Linked DNA regions of Stegostoma tigrinum. The protein of the gene in region 1 purifies or fractionates together with the protein of each later gene. This does not show direct contact. Links are inferred from orthologs where the notes say so. Each region holds a gene or a part of one and is shown in the gene's direction. Other genes may lie near its edges.

Region 1 (6,969 bases):
TCCTTCTTATAACAGGCAACTAGAACTGTGCACAGTATTTCAAAGGTAGCCTCACCAACGCCATATAGAGCCACAATATGATGCCGCAATCGCGGTCCCCAATGCCCTGACCAATGAGGGCAAGAATGCCAAATGCCAGCTTCACCACCCTGTCTACCTGTGACACCATTTTCAAGGAACTATGTATCTGAACCCCCAGGTTTCTCTATTCAACAACACTCCCCAGAGTCCAACCTTTAACTATGCAAGTCCTGTCCTAGTTTGTCGTACCAAAATGGAACATTTATCGAAATTAAACTCCATCTGCCATTCCTCCGCTCATTGGCCCAGCAGGCCAAGATCTCATTGTACTCTTAGGAAACCTTCTTCACTGTCCATTATTTTGGTGTCAATTTTGGTGTCATCCACAAACTTACTAACCATGCCTCCCATATTTTCATCTAAACCATTTTTGTAAATGACAAACAAAAGCGGACCCAGCACTGATTTTTGTTGCACATTGCTCGTCACAGGCCTCCAGTCAGAACAACAACCCTCTACTACCACCCTGTCTCCTACCGTCAGGCCAGTTTTGTATCCAGTTGGCAATCTCTCCCTGGATCCCATGTGATCAAACTTTCCTAACCAATTTGCCACATGGCACCTTGTTGAAGGCCTTGCTAAAGTCCATGTAGATGACGTCTACCACTCTGCCTTCATCTATCTTCAAAAAAAAACATATTCAAGTCCGTGAGACATGAGTTCCCACACAAAGCATGCTGACTATCCCTTATCAGTGAAGAAAAATCACAGTTAACATTTTGAGTCCAGTAACACTTCCTCAGAAGGGAAGGCTCATGGAGCCCGAAATGTTAACTGTGAATTTTCTTCAGAAGCTGCCAGACCCGCTGAGCTTTTCCAGAAACTTCTGTTTTGTTCCTGATTTGAACCTGCAGTTCTTTCAGTTTTAATCCCTCATGAGAATGAGTCCTTGCCTTTACAAATTCATGCAAATCCCATCTCTCAGACTCCCCTCCAATAACTTATCTGTCACCAATGTCAGGTTCACCAGTTTATAGTTCCCTGGTTTTTCCTTGCAGCCTTTCATAAATAAAAGGTACAACTTTAGCAACTCCCCAGCCTTCCAGCACCTCACCCCTTTCTGTAGATGATACAAATATCTCTTCTAGGAGCCCTGCAATTTCATCCTTAGTTTCCCACAGTGTCCTGTGATACACTTGATCAGTTCCCAGGATTTATCAATCATTATGCGTTTTAAGATTTCCAGCACCTTCTCTTCTGTAATGTGGACTCTTTTTAAGACATCACTATTTATTTCCTAAGTTTCCTGGCTTCCATGTGTCCAATCTCTTCTTTGCTTATGATATTCCTATGTCCTCATGGTCAATACTGCCAAAAGTGTCTTTACTTTTGAACTTCCCAGAAATGACTACCTTGGAGCTCTGACCAAGTTACAACAGCTGCGCTCCTGCTCTAACAACCACCAGCTCTCAACTCCGTCACTCCACTCTTGCACTCGATCACAAAAAGAGTTTGAAAAGCACAGCTGTACCTTTACTTCATTTACCTGTGCTGGATCAACAAATCTTCTGTGTATTTATTATGTATTAGGTTCAAAAGGAGTCCTGCATGTATTGTAGGAACCACATTTCCCTAGTCCCTTCATCTTTCTCTTTTGTCCAGTTCATTTGGGTAGTTTTCCTCATTTCCCATAATGATTTTATGACGTGTTTTTTGTTTGAAACTTCGATTCCCTAAATTGTTTTCCTCCATGTCCCTTCTGCCCCAGGAAATCACAACTTAGGAAGAGATACTTACATTTTTTTTAATGGTTGGATTTGATATTCAGCTTTCTGTGCTTGGATTCACTCAAATGTAAATTCAGCAGTTTTGGGGATGTGGCAATCTAGTTGTATTCTTTTGTAGGTTGTGTGACTGGCTTATCTAGGGAGCTGTCTGGTGGGTCACTGGCTTTATCAAACATCTGCAAACATACAGAGAAACTCAAGAAGTTTCCTTGAACTGTGCCATGTAAAAACTCAGATGTTAATAATTTGACAGAACTAAATCTAACCCATCCCACTGACGAGCAGCTAGTAACAGAAACCCTGAATGATTTGGAGTTCCAGAGTTCAAAAAGAGCACACGGTGCAGTTCTACAGTCCATGTTACAACAATGCGGTTGACACTGAACCCATGCAATCTATGCTGTCCAGTAATCAGCAGCCAATCCACCTCTTTCAAACATCACGTCACCGCTGTTGCACATTGAATATCCAGGTGGTAAACTGCATGCAGGCTCAACATGGTCACAGTATAACATTGTTGAAGCTTGACCAAGAAATGGCAGATGGGCCAACTCAGCCTTTCAGCAGCATCACTGCAATAGCAAGTACAGCAGCTCCCCGAACTCCAGCTGGGCATTTGTCAGCAGGAAGTTGATGACATCTTCAAACTCACTGTCTCTTCAGTTTCCTTCTCCCTGAACAATATTGGTCATTTTGAAGAAGCACTCAGGTGAAGAAAAATTCAGGAAAGCATTACAAACAAAACGTATTAAAACATGAATAGTTCCCTTCTCACTTCCCTTCCAGTTGCCTAAGCATAATCAAGTGAACTATAGGGGGAGTGAATTACAGTTGGCTAATGATGCCTCAACGGGCAGCCACTGAACAAGGAAAAAGTAGAAACTCAAAATACGCTCAGTTTGTGACAAACAACTGCACCTTCCAGTCATGAACCACTTCAACACCCCCTCCCACTCCTTGGATGCCATGTCCATCCTGGGCCTCCTCTAGTGCCACAATGATGCCACCTGAACACTGCAGGAACAGCACCTCATATTTCACTTGATAACCCTGCAGCAATGGTTTCAATGTGGACCTCACAAGCTTCAAAATCTTCCCACCCATGACCTCATCCCAAAAACCAGCCCAGCTCATCCCCACCTCTTTCACCTGTCCGTCTTTTCTCCCACCTCACTGGCCAACCCCCACTCCACCTCCTACCTACCAGTCTCATCCCACGTCCTTGACCTGTCTGTCTTCTCTCCACCTATCTGCTCCTTTATCCACCTCCCATCATCGCTCTCCCCTTCTCTCTATTTATTTGAGACCCCTTCCCCTCCCCCATTTCTGAAGAAGGTTCCAGACCCAAAACATCAGCTTTCCTGCTCTTCTGATGCTGCCTGGCCTGCTGTGCGCATCCTGCTTCACACTTTGTTGTGTCGGATTCTCCAGCATCTGCAGTTCCCATTATCTCTGATCTACTAACAAGATATTACCGTGCGCAAAAGAAACCTGAATTCAGTTGAGAGACTGATATACGTTACTTGGGAAAAAAAATACAATCTGCAAATTGAATTGACATTTTACAATTTCCTTAATAAACGTGTACCAAAAGTTAGTATTAATTTCCGAATTAATCGTTGTACATTCGCGGTAACATGTAAATAACAACAACCGATATTATAACTGGAACAACTAATCCTATAGATTAATACTACAATTCAACTTCAAACATGCTTTCGCCAGGATTGATCAGCAAACCCGGTACCAGTTGCTGTCAATCATTCAACAACCCTGGCTGCCAAGGCTGCTATGGATTGGATAAGAGAGGTAGGCCTATATTACGGCTTCCCGAAAGACTAGCAGCCGGTAAGTCACTCGAGATCTGCGCCACTTATTCCTTCCTCACCCCATTATTTCATTTCTTCCTGGAATAGATACGACTCGCCCCCAGACTGTAACTGACATCTGAAGCAGCCAATGAAACTACCCATGTCCCGCACACGTGACTGGTGAAGGGGCGGGGAGTTACAGACGTTTCGATTCCGGGCGGAAATCGGGCCTCAACCTTTTGTGGCCGTACTCTTATTGACATAACATTGGACCAATCATTATCCAGAACCCCAGCGCTTGGCCCGGCTAAGTGCGACGGTGAACCAATGAGGTGTGGAGAAAGGTAGGCAAGGTTTTTGGCTGAGGTGTCCGTGATCAACTGTCACTGTTAACATGGCTGCCACCGGGGTGTTGCCTTTCATTAGAGGTGTAGATTTAAGTGGAAACGATTTTAAAGTAAGCCACTTACATTATTCTGAGTATAAAACGAAATGTAAGCAGATGTGGAGTTAATGTGGGGTTTGACCAATCAGTTGTTTCGGTAAAGTTGATGAGGCCCGGCACTGAGACCTGGAATCTTGTGTTGTTCGTTTAATAATTTTGTATTTAGATTTTAAAATATTGCCTATCTGTTTGTATAATAATAGCAAAACATTATCTCCTATTTCGTTTCTTTTAAAACAACAGCTTGCATTTACTTAGCTCCTTCAGTAGAAATATGAAGAAGTGTCTCGACCCGAAACATCAGCTTTCCAACTCCTCTGATGCTGCTTGGCCTGCTGTGTTCATCTAGCTCTACACCGTGTTATCTGAGAAATGAGAGTTGTGTTTAGTGGCCTTTTCATGCGTATTCCTTCATTCAGCAGAACCATTCAACATAATTTCTGGCTAATCAACATCATCCCCGTATCTCTTGATTTCCTTAGTACCCAAGAATCCTTCCATTATGTTTTGAATATGCTCCGCAATTGAGCCTCTGGTGTGAAGCATAAACTTCTCCGATTCTCAATCAGCCCTGTCATTCAGTTCGAATGCTAGTCTAAATGCTTGACTCCTTATTTGAGGCTGTGAGACCTGTGTTCTAGAATTCTCAGTTAAGGAAATGTTTTCTCAGCATTTATCTATGAATTCTGTTAGAAAATATTACAAAATGTGATGTTTGACTTTGCTCATCTCGCATTCTACTAAAATACAGGAAATGTAGACCTACTCTACTCAATATCTTCTCTCCACCAATCTTCTCATTTTCAGGAGCTAGTCTAGTCAGCCTGTTACTCTGCCTCCTGGGCAAATGTTGGAAATCATGGGGGCAACTCCAGAACGATGGAACACAGCAGGCCAAGCAGCATCTTAGGAGCACACAAGCTGATGTTTCCGACCTAGACCCTTCATCAGCTCTTGTACTTTCTTGCAGCTAGAGACACATAAACACATACTTTGTCTGCCTCATGTCAGTTTTTATAACTAATTTATGGTATTGGATTACCTCATCCTAAATCTTGTCACCAGGGATGTAACTTTATTGGGCCAAAGAGACCTTTTTTGAAATATATTATTATGAGAATGGTAGAATTACTTCCTTTTGACAGCCTTGCTTTGACCATAAAGATTTTTAAAGTCAGAATACACTTGTCAATTCAGTGTTTAATTGTTCAAGCACTGTGATTGGAGAAGACACAAGTGTTTTGTAGGTTCTTAAAATGTAACTAGAATATTATTCTAGGGGAGGCAACAGCGTAGTGGTATTATTGTTGGCCTGTTAATCCAAAGATCCAGATATTGTTCTGAGGACTCAGATTTGAATCCTGCTACAGCAGATGGTAGAATATTAATTCAGTGAAAATCTGGAATTAAATGTTAAGTGATGACTACAAATCCATCGCCAATTGTCAGGAAAAACCTATGTGGTTCACTGTTGCCCTTTTAGGGAAGGAAGCTGCCAACCTTACCTGGTCTGGCCTGTGTGTGACTCCAGGTCCACAGCAATGTGGTTGACACTTAACTGCCCTCTGGGCAATTAGAGATGGACAATAATTGGTGGGCTAGCAAGCATCATCCTCATCTTGTGAAGAATGGAAGAAAATTGTACTTAACACAATTTAAATAAAAATAACAATACCATTCTGATTCTTTCGCCTCTAAATTCAAGGGTTCACACATTTTAAGTTAGAGTTTGAGGATAGGTTAAACAATTTAAATGTCTTAACCCTCAAGCCTGCTGTACTCTTGATTTGGATCGTGATTGATCTGATTACTCCACATTCTGGTTCAGTTTTGATCTCCCTGCTTTAAGAAAGATGTTAAACTTGAGTTCAGAAAAGATTTACAAGGATATTGGCAACGTTGGAGGCTTAAAAAGCTGGGGCTTTGTTTTTCCTGTAGTGTCAGAAGCTGACCTTAGAAGTGTATGAAATCATGAGGGGCGCAGATAGAGTGAATAGCTAAGATCTTTTTCTCAGGTTGGGGGAGTCCAAAACAAGAGGGCACAGGTTTAAGGTGAGAGGAGAAAGACTCAAAAGGGACCTAAGGGCAACTTTTTCTCAGAGGGTAGTGCATGTATGGAGCTACCTGCCGGAGGAGGTGGTGGAGCGAGGTATAATTACATCTGGATGGGTGCATGAATAGGAAGGGTTTAGAGGGATGTGGGCCAAATACTGGTAAATGGGATTAGATCAGTTTACAATATCTGATCGGCATGGAAGAGTTGGACCGAATGGTCTGTTTCTGCGCTGTACAGCTATGACTTTGTAACTATCTTGGATAGGTTCAGCTTAACCTCTTTGTTCTTGTACTCCAAGTGCCATTTAATACAGGTAGACAAACAGAAAGCTGGAAGAACAAAGCAAGCCAAGCAAGCAAGCAGCATCTGGAGGAAAGGAGAAGTCAACGTTTTGGGCATTATCTTTCTTCAGCCCTGAAAAGGGCTAATGCCTGAAATGTTGACTTCTCCTTTCCTCCAGATACTGCCTGGCTTGATGTGTTCTTCTGGCTTCCCGTTTGTCTACCTTGGATGCCATCATCTGCAGTTGCTTTGTCTCTCACTAATTAATAAAGCCCAGTTTCAGCTTTATTAACTGATGTCTATATCATAGAATCTCAACGGTACATAAAGCAGCCATTCACCCCATTGACTCTGTGCTGACCCTCTGAAGAGCATTCCACTCAGACCCAACTTCCACCCTATCCCTGTAACCCTGTATTTACCATGTCTAACTCACCTAGCCTGCGCAGTCCTAGACACTACAGGGCAAATTACAATGGCCAATCCCTCTAACCTGCACATCTTTCGACTTTGGGAGGAAACTGGAGTGACCAGAGGAAATCCACACAGACCCGGGGTGAATGTACA
Region 2 (7,604 bases), on another chromosome or scaffold:
TCAACAGTCTCTTCCATTTTGCCCAGTTTTCATCTCTTCTCTCATTACCCTTCACTCTGGCTCTGTATTCGGGCCCTCAGCCCTCTCCCAAATGCTGCTGTCTTTTGGTTCTTGGCCCAATGGTATCTAACGTCACAGTCCAGCTCTATTTAGACACCGAGATAATAAAATGTGAGGCTGGATGAACACAGCAGGCCAAGCAGCATCTCAGGAGCACCTGAGATGCTGCTTGGCCTGCTGTGTTCATCCAGCCTCACATTTTATTATCTTGGAATTCTCCAGCATCTGCAGTTCCCATTATCTCTGATTCTATTTATACACCCTCAGGTCTCTCCAATCCACACTGATTTCCAAATGTTTGCCATATGACCTCTTGCACACCTGTGGGTGCCTTCCACGTCTCCAATCTGACTCTACTCTCTGGCTACGGGCCTCTCCTATCAGCTGTTAATTTCTGGCTCTCGGGCCATTTCTTCGAGTTTTATGTTCTCAAATCTGGCCTTTATTTTGATGTTTTCTGGCTCACTGGTCAAACCCATTATAGCTAACTTTTCAGCCCTCAGTGTGCTCCCTCTGGTGCTGTTTTGTGGCTGTGGGACCAGTCTCTTGTGCTGTTTTCCAGCTCTCAAACCAGTCTGCACATGTGCTGGTTTTGAGTTCTCAGATCTGTTCCCACTTGTGCTTTTGAACCTCACCACTGTCATGCTGCATTCTACGTCTTGAACTACTACCCACTCTCACTATTTTCCAGCTCACAGACCACCACATCACACAGTGCTTTTGAACTACTCAGAGCTCTCCCTCTCGTGCTATTTTTGATCTCTTAAACCCCATACTGCACACCCTTGTTTTTGAGCCTTCACATCACGCGGTTCTTCATTTCCCATATGTCTTTATGCTTGGACAATTTTCAATCTCTTAATTTCCTTCCCAACTCACCCTACATCACAGAACATATACTTCCAAATGCTTGTGCTGTTTTCAAGCTCTCACCTCAATCTGTTTTCCCGGGCTCAGATCTCCTCCCCTCTTGAAATGCATCATAGCACACAGACCTCAATACTCAACATGTTTTCAAGCAGTCATCACTCTCCTTGCTGTGTTTTTCAGGTCTCAGATCTCTTCCTTCTTGTGGTATATCCAGCTAGATTATCTATCTTTGAAGTGCCATCAATACTACCTATCACGCGAGTTCACCTCCACTATCCTGATAGCAGTCTCCATAACACCCTACGCTATACACTGCTACAAATGGAATTGAGGTGGAATGCCTCTAGGCACTCATTATAGACAGCAACATCAACCAGGCCAACCTCAACAGTATGCTACCAAAATACTATCAACATGCTTCCTGCCCCATCAAGGGCTGAACATCCTTGACCATTGCTACACACCTGTCAGAGATGCCTACTGCTGCATACCCCATCTACATTCCGAAAATCAGATCACAACGCAGTGTTGCCCGTCACAGCTTACAAGCAGAATTTGAAACATGAGGACATTGTACAGAAAGTAGCAGTGTTATTCCGAGGTACTGTTGGAGCTTCTATGGGAGTGCTTTGAATCGGTGGACTGGTCCATTTTCAAGAATTCAGCGGCCAATCTAGATGAGTATGCTATTACCATTAAATAATTCATTAGCACTTGTGTGGAAGGATGTGTGACAAAATACTCAAACCGAATAGTCCCCAATCAGAAAGCATGGATGAAGCGGAGATCCATTGCCAACTAAAGTCCAGGTTTGTGGCATTCAAGTCAGATGACCCTAATGTTTACAGGAAATCCAGATGTGACCTCCATAAAACCATGAGACAGCCTCCAATGTATCTGTTCCATCATTCACCATTGCAGATGTCAGACCTTTATGAGTGAACCACAGAAAACGACTGGCCGATATGGAGTCCCCCACCATGCACTCAGATTATGCATGTACCAGCTGGCAGGAGTAGTCGCTGACATTTTTAACTTCTCCTTTCTACAATCTGTAGTCCCCACCTGCTTCAAGAAGACCACCATCAGGCCGGTACCAGAAAAACTTCATGCAGCTTGCCTCAATGACTACCACCCAGTGGCTCTGACCTCCACAATTATGAAGTGCTTTGAAAGGTCAGTCATGGCTCATGTCAACTCCAGCCTCCCCTGATCCCTGGCAACTCACTTACCGTTGCAACAGGTTCATATCAGACACCATCTCCCTGTCCTTACAGTCATCCCTGGAATAAAAGGATACCTACATCAGTCTTCCACTCATTGACTCCAGCACTGCCTTTAATACTATAATTCCAACTAATCGTCAAACTCCAAGACCTAGGTTTTTAATCCGCGCTCTGCAACTGGATCCTTGACTTTCTGACCCACAGACTGCAGTCAATGAGAATAGGCAAGAGCACCTCCTCCATGACAATCTCAACACCAGCGTTGTGCAAGGCCCTCCATGTATACTCATGATTGTGTTGTCAAATCAAACTCTGGCAACAAGTTTGTTAATAACACCACCATGATAATCTGGATCTCAATGACAAGACAGAATAAACGAAAGAGGTAGAGTGTTTGGTGGTGTGGTGTGAAGATAACAATCTCACCCTCAAACGTCAGTAAAATGAAAGAGCTGGTCATTGACTTCCGGAAGAAAGGTTGAGGGCACGCCCCTGTCTGCATCAATGGATCTGAGGTGGAGATGGTTAAGAGCATCAAATTCCTAGGAGTGATGATAACCAAAATTGATGCAGTGGTCAAGAAAGCACTACAGCACATGTATTTCCTCAGGAGGCTAAGGAAATTTGGCATGTCCAAAAGACTCTTACCAATTTTAATAAATGCTCCATAGAAAGCATTCTATCTTGATGCATCACAGCTTGGTACGGCAACTGCTTTGGCCAGGATTGTGAGAAACTACAGAGTGTCGTGAACATAGCCCAGTAATTCACACAAGCCAACCTTCCATCCAGTGACTCCATCTATACTTCTCATTGCCCCAGTAAGGCAGCCAACATAATCAACGATCCCTCTCACCCTGGTTATAATCTCTTCCAACCACTTCCATTAAGCAGAAAAGGCAAAAGCTTAAATGCATGTACGAAACAGATTCGAGAACAGCTTCTTCCCTGACTTTGGAATGGACCTCTCCAAATTTAATGTCGACCTCGCTATTTGTACATCTTCTCTGCAACCGTAACATTGTATTCCATGCTGTGTTCTCTTACCCTCTGCACTTTGGCTGGTATGATCTGCCAGTACTGCACAAGAAACAAAACATCTCATGGTCCCTAGCTAGACATGACAATAATATATGAAATTCTAAAAAACAAATCAGCTCTCTGACCCTTCCATCTCATGCTGTTTTCCAGCTCTAGTCCTATTATGCCTTGCGCTTTTTGCAAGCTGCGGCAGGACTCCCCTTTCGTCTTGGTTTTTGAGGTCTTGCACCTTTCCCTTTGGATGTTTTCCGGCTCTTGGGTCTCTCCCATCCAGCACTATTTTTCAGTCCTCAGGACTGTCCCACATGGTGCTGTTTTCCCAGTTGTCAGGCCCTTCCAGTTTTCAGTCTTTTCCCTAATATTGGGAGACCTGCTGAGCTTTTCCAGCTACTTGTTTTTGTTTGATATCAACTGCAGTGCCTTCCTCAGCACATCGCAAGAAAAAAAATTCATTCAGGACTCTGAGAATAGTAGAAACTGCAGATGTTGGAGAATCTGAGATAACAAGGTGTGGAGCTGAATGAACACAGCTGGCCAAGCAGCATCAGAAGAGCAGGAAGGCTGACATTTCGGGCCTGGACCCTTCTTCAGAAATGGGGGAGGGGATGGGGGGGTTCTGAAATAAATAGGGAGGCAGATCAGAGATGGATAGAGGAAGAAGATAGGTGGAGAGGAGACAGACAGGTCAAGGAGGTGGGGATGGCGAGCAGTTTCAAGGCTGAAGAGATTACGAGAGAGTTGCAGTGGGAGAGAGATCTCTTGAAGTTTGTCCGGAGGCAGGAGGGTAACTTCTTCAGGGTAGGCATCGTTAGAAGAGGCTTCACAGTGGGGTTAAAATTGTATCAGAGATAAGAGGAGCTGAAGATGCTGGAGAATCCAAGATACCAAGGTGTAGAGCTGGATGAACACAGCAGGCCAAGCAGCATCAGAGGAGCAAGAAAGCTGATGTTTGCCTGTTTTCCCTATCTGTCTCCTCTCCACCTATCTCCTCTATCCATCTTCGATCCGCCTCCCCACCCCCTCCTTATTTATTTCAGATTCCCCCTCCCCCTCCCCCTCCCCCATTCCTGATGAAGGGTCTAGGCCCGAAACGTCAGCTTTCCTGCTCCGAAGATGCTGCTTGGCCTGCTGTGTTCGTCCAGCTCGACACAGTGCTCATTCGGGACCTCCCTGACTTCCTACAACAAATGACCAAACGCTGAGCTTGTCATCTTCGCCACGGTCGCTCAAAAGGCTCTCCAAACCGCTCACAATCCCGCCTCGCCGAACGCGCACACATGCGCAGAACGTCGCCCCCGAGCGCATACCAACCCGAACTTGTAGCCTGTGCGCGTGCGCACCGAGCCGCCTCAACCAATGCTGGCGCGAGGCACGCGGTTAAGCGCATGCCCAGCGGGAGCCGTTGACGCATGCGTGCAAAGGAATTGGCGGAGTTGCCAGCTGGTGGTGGTTTAATTTTGGGATAGGGTTAGAGTTTTATTTTAAAATCCTCGTTTCAGGCGGAGCTAAAGCCGAGTGGTCGGATCAAGAAACGGGTTTGTTGGTGATGTTTGAACGGGTGGCTCAGCTGGTGACGAGACGAATGGCTGGTTGATTGTCCAGGACTGACCGAAGGAGTGGCCGAGCCGCTTGGTAAGACAACCTCGGGGCCGACTGATCACCAGCACCGCACCTCCGTTCCGTTCCCCCGGCAAGATCGGCGGATAGGCCTTAATCTCCTTTGCCGACCTCGAGGGCTTTTCAAGCCCCTTTTCCTGGCCTGTCGCCCCGAGCTTGACTTGGTCTTAGCCTGGCCTATTGTCACTGTTGGAGAGAGCAGGTCTGAGCCGCGCTGCTGGTGTCAGCCCGGGGCCGGGCCGCTTCCTGCGCTGTACCGCCCTTGCATTGCTTACATTCAAACTCAACTTTTGGCTCCTGTCCAGGATTACTACCTTTTATTCAAAAAATCATGTCTCCGAACCTGCGGAGTTAGCTTGAGGTGAAATGGGTTACCTTGGCGATGAGAGGGCAGTCATGCTGCATTCCAGAGCAGTTTGCTGTCAAACTTCACTGCAGGTTATGAAGACCCAGTGATGACAGGAGTGATAGGAGAGCAGTATAGATAGACATTTTGCTGCCATATCGACTTCTGCTTGGTAGTGATTGTTGAGTTTGTTTATTGTCGTAGCTTCTTGACTATTTTACATGATTGTACTTTTGTTTGAATTCTGCATATTGATTTTCCTAGCTGTAGTTGTTTCCTCTTGACTCCTTTTGGCTTTTGTGCATCTACCCTTTTCTGGCATCTGTAGCTATGTATTAAGTTGCATAGATGTTAAATCCCTTTTTGTATCTCGAATACTGTTCCCTTTTATTAAATCCACCCTTTGACCAAGCTTTGGATCATCCTTCTTAATCTCTTTTTGGTTTGAACTCTGTTTTCTTCTGGCTTCTGTCAAGCACCTCTGTATATTCTTCTAGATTTAATATATAGATAAAACTGCACAATGGTTAACAAGAAGACTCCAATTTGAAACTTTTTTAAACGTCTAGACAGCAGTTTGATGTTGGCACATTGACACTGCAGTATTATGTGCTGAAATGTCATGATGCTTTGCACCTGTTAGCTGTATGACTATGAAAAAAGGAGTTGACCTTCTCCTAGTTACTGGGCTAATTGTTTTTTACATCACAGATAGCTTTACAGTCTTCACATTATTCACAACTTATTTTGTATTCATTTCTTTGTCCAAAATGAATGTCAGAACACTAATTATTTTAATAGTTTGCAACTTTAGTGTTGAAGCAAAAAAGTTGAAGTATAAGTATTGAGACATTACAGTCTGGTTTGAGATCAAGTTATGTTAATTTCTGTTAAATGACATTAACCAGTGAAAGTCATGGGAAATTGCAGCATTAGGATTTGCAGCATAATTTGTCAAACGATATTCTTGTCCCCTGAAGATCATAAGTATTAGAAATAAGAGTAGGCCAATTTGTCCCCTTCTGTCTGTTCTGTCATTCTATAGGATCACGGCTGTTCTGACTTTACTCACGTCCACTTTCTTGCATTTTGTCCGTAACTCCAATTCCCCTCCAAATCAAGAATCTGATCCTTAAATACAAAGGACTCTACCCTTTGTAGCTAGGAGTTCCAAAGACTCACTTCCCATTGGGATAAGGAGGAATTTCTTCTGTCGTAAATTGGCACCCCTCAATCCTGAGACTGTGCCCTCTGTACCTACATTCTCCAGTGAGGAGGAACATCCCCTCAGCATTTTCCTTGTCGACTCACTTCAGAATCGTAAATATTTCACCTGAGATCACCCCTCATTCTTAACTCCAGTGAATACGGTACCAACTTGTTTGGCTGTTCTTCATAAGACAGCTGCTTTATTGAGATCATTGTAATAACAAATATAGAAATTAGGAGCAGGAGTAGACCACTTGACCCCTTGAGTCTGCTGTACTATTCAGTATGATCATCAATCTCAGTACTCTAATTGCTTCTTCCCCCATATTCCTTGATCTCTTTAGTCACACAAGCTGTATCTACCTCCTTCCTTAACACAATATTTTGGCCTTGACCACTTTCTGTGGTTGTGAATTGCACAGGGGTGACACTCTGGGCGAAGAAACCTCTCATTTCAAAACTAAAAACCATACTTCTCATTCTTAAACCATGAACCCTGGTTCTTGACTCCACCCACCATCTGGAACATCCTTCCTGCATCTCGCTTGTCTTGTCCTGTTAGAATTTAATACTTCCCAAGTGATGTGATTCCCTTCCCCTAACCCTGTTAACGTTCTCTCTGAACTGCCTTCAATGAAATGAAACCCTACCTTAAGGGCACCAGATCTGTTCTCAGTACTCCAAAAATAGTCTCAGCAGCACTGCGTACTTCCCTGATCTTATGCCCCAACCTTTGAAATTAGGGCCTATGTTCTATTAATTTGTGACATGTAATTATTCTTTGGAGGAGAACAATTTTGGTAAGAATCTAATTTTGTCTTGTAGTACAACTGGTGGAAGGAGTTCCCCTCCAAATGGTATTCGATCTTATTGGTTTGGACTTGTAGAAGATTTTAATTGTTTGGAGAAAATGGGGACACCTGGATCTGGAAGGAAACGAACGCCTATTAAAGACAGATTCTCTGCTGAAGATGAGGCCCTGAGCCACATTGCCAGAGAGGTTGGTTGAAATTTAATTTTGAATGTTTCCATTATTATCAGCTGTTGTGATTATTCATCGTGGTGGGATGTTCTCACCTTTTATCTTCAGTTTATAGTTTAAATTCACATCCCCTCTAGGGTACACAATGCGACAAGCCAAGGCTTGTGACATACTTTGTATGAGTTGAACTACAGTTTTTATGCAAGTTCTGTTTCAGTATTGGAAAAGAATGCTGCTGCAATCTTACATCTTT

The links.
Region 2: the proteins of flii (region 1) and lrrfip2 purify together in Homo sapiens (affinity purification with mass spectrometry; 3 studies listed by BioGRID and IntAct, with this or other methods). This does not show direct contact. The link is inferred for Stegostoma tigrinum from reciprocal best matches to the Homo sapiens genes FLII and LRRFIP2.

The regions. Positions count from the first base shown.
Region 1 is NC_081376.1:25,218,548-25,225,516, forward strand, and holds the start of flii (protein flightless-1 homolog), read left to right. Parts: upstream 1-3,963; 5' UTR 3,964-4,013; coding exon 4,014-4,076; intron 4,077-6,969. UniProt on the Homo sapiens protein: Is a regulator of actin polymerization, required for proper myofibril organization and regulation of the length of sarcomeric thin filaments. It also plays a role in the assembly of cardiomyocyte cell adhesion complexes.
Region 2 is NC_081358.1:6,313,451-6,321,054, forward strand, and holds the start of lrrfip2 (leucine-rich repeat flightless-interacting protein 2), read left to right. Parts: upstream 1-4,596; 5' UTR 4,597-4,829; intron 4,830-7,194; 5' UTR 7,195-7,279; coding exon 7,280-7,369; intron 7,370-7,604. UniProt on the Homo sapiens protein: May function as activator of the canonical Wnt signaling pathway, in association with DVL3, upstream of CTNNB1/beta-catenin.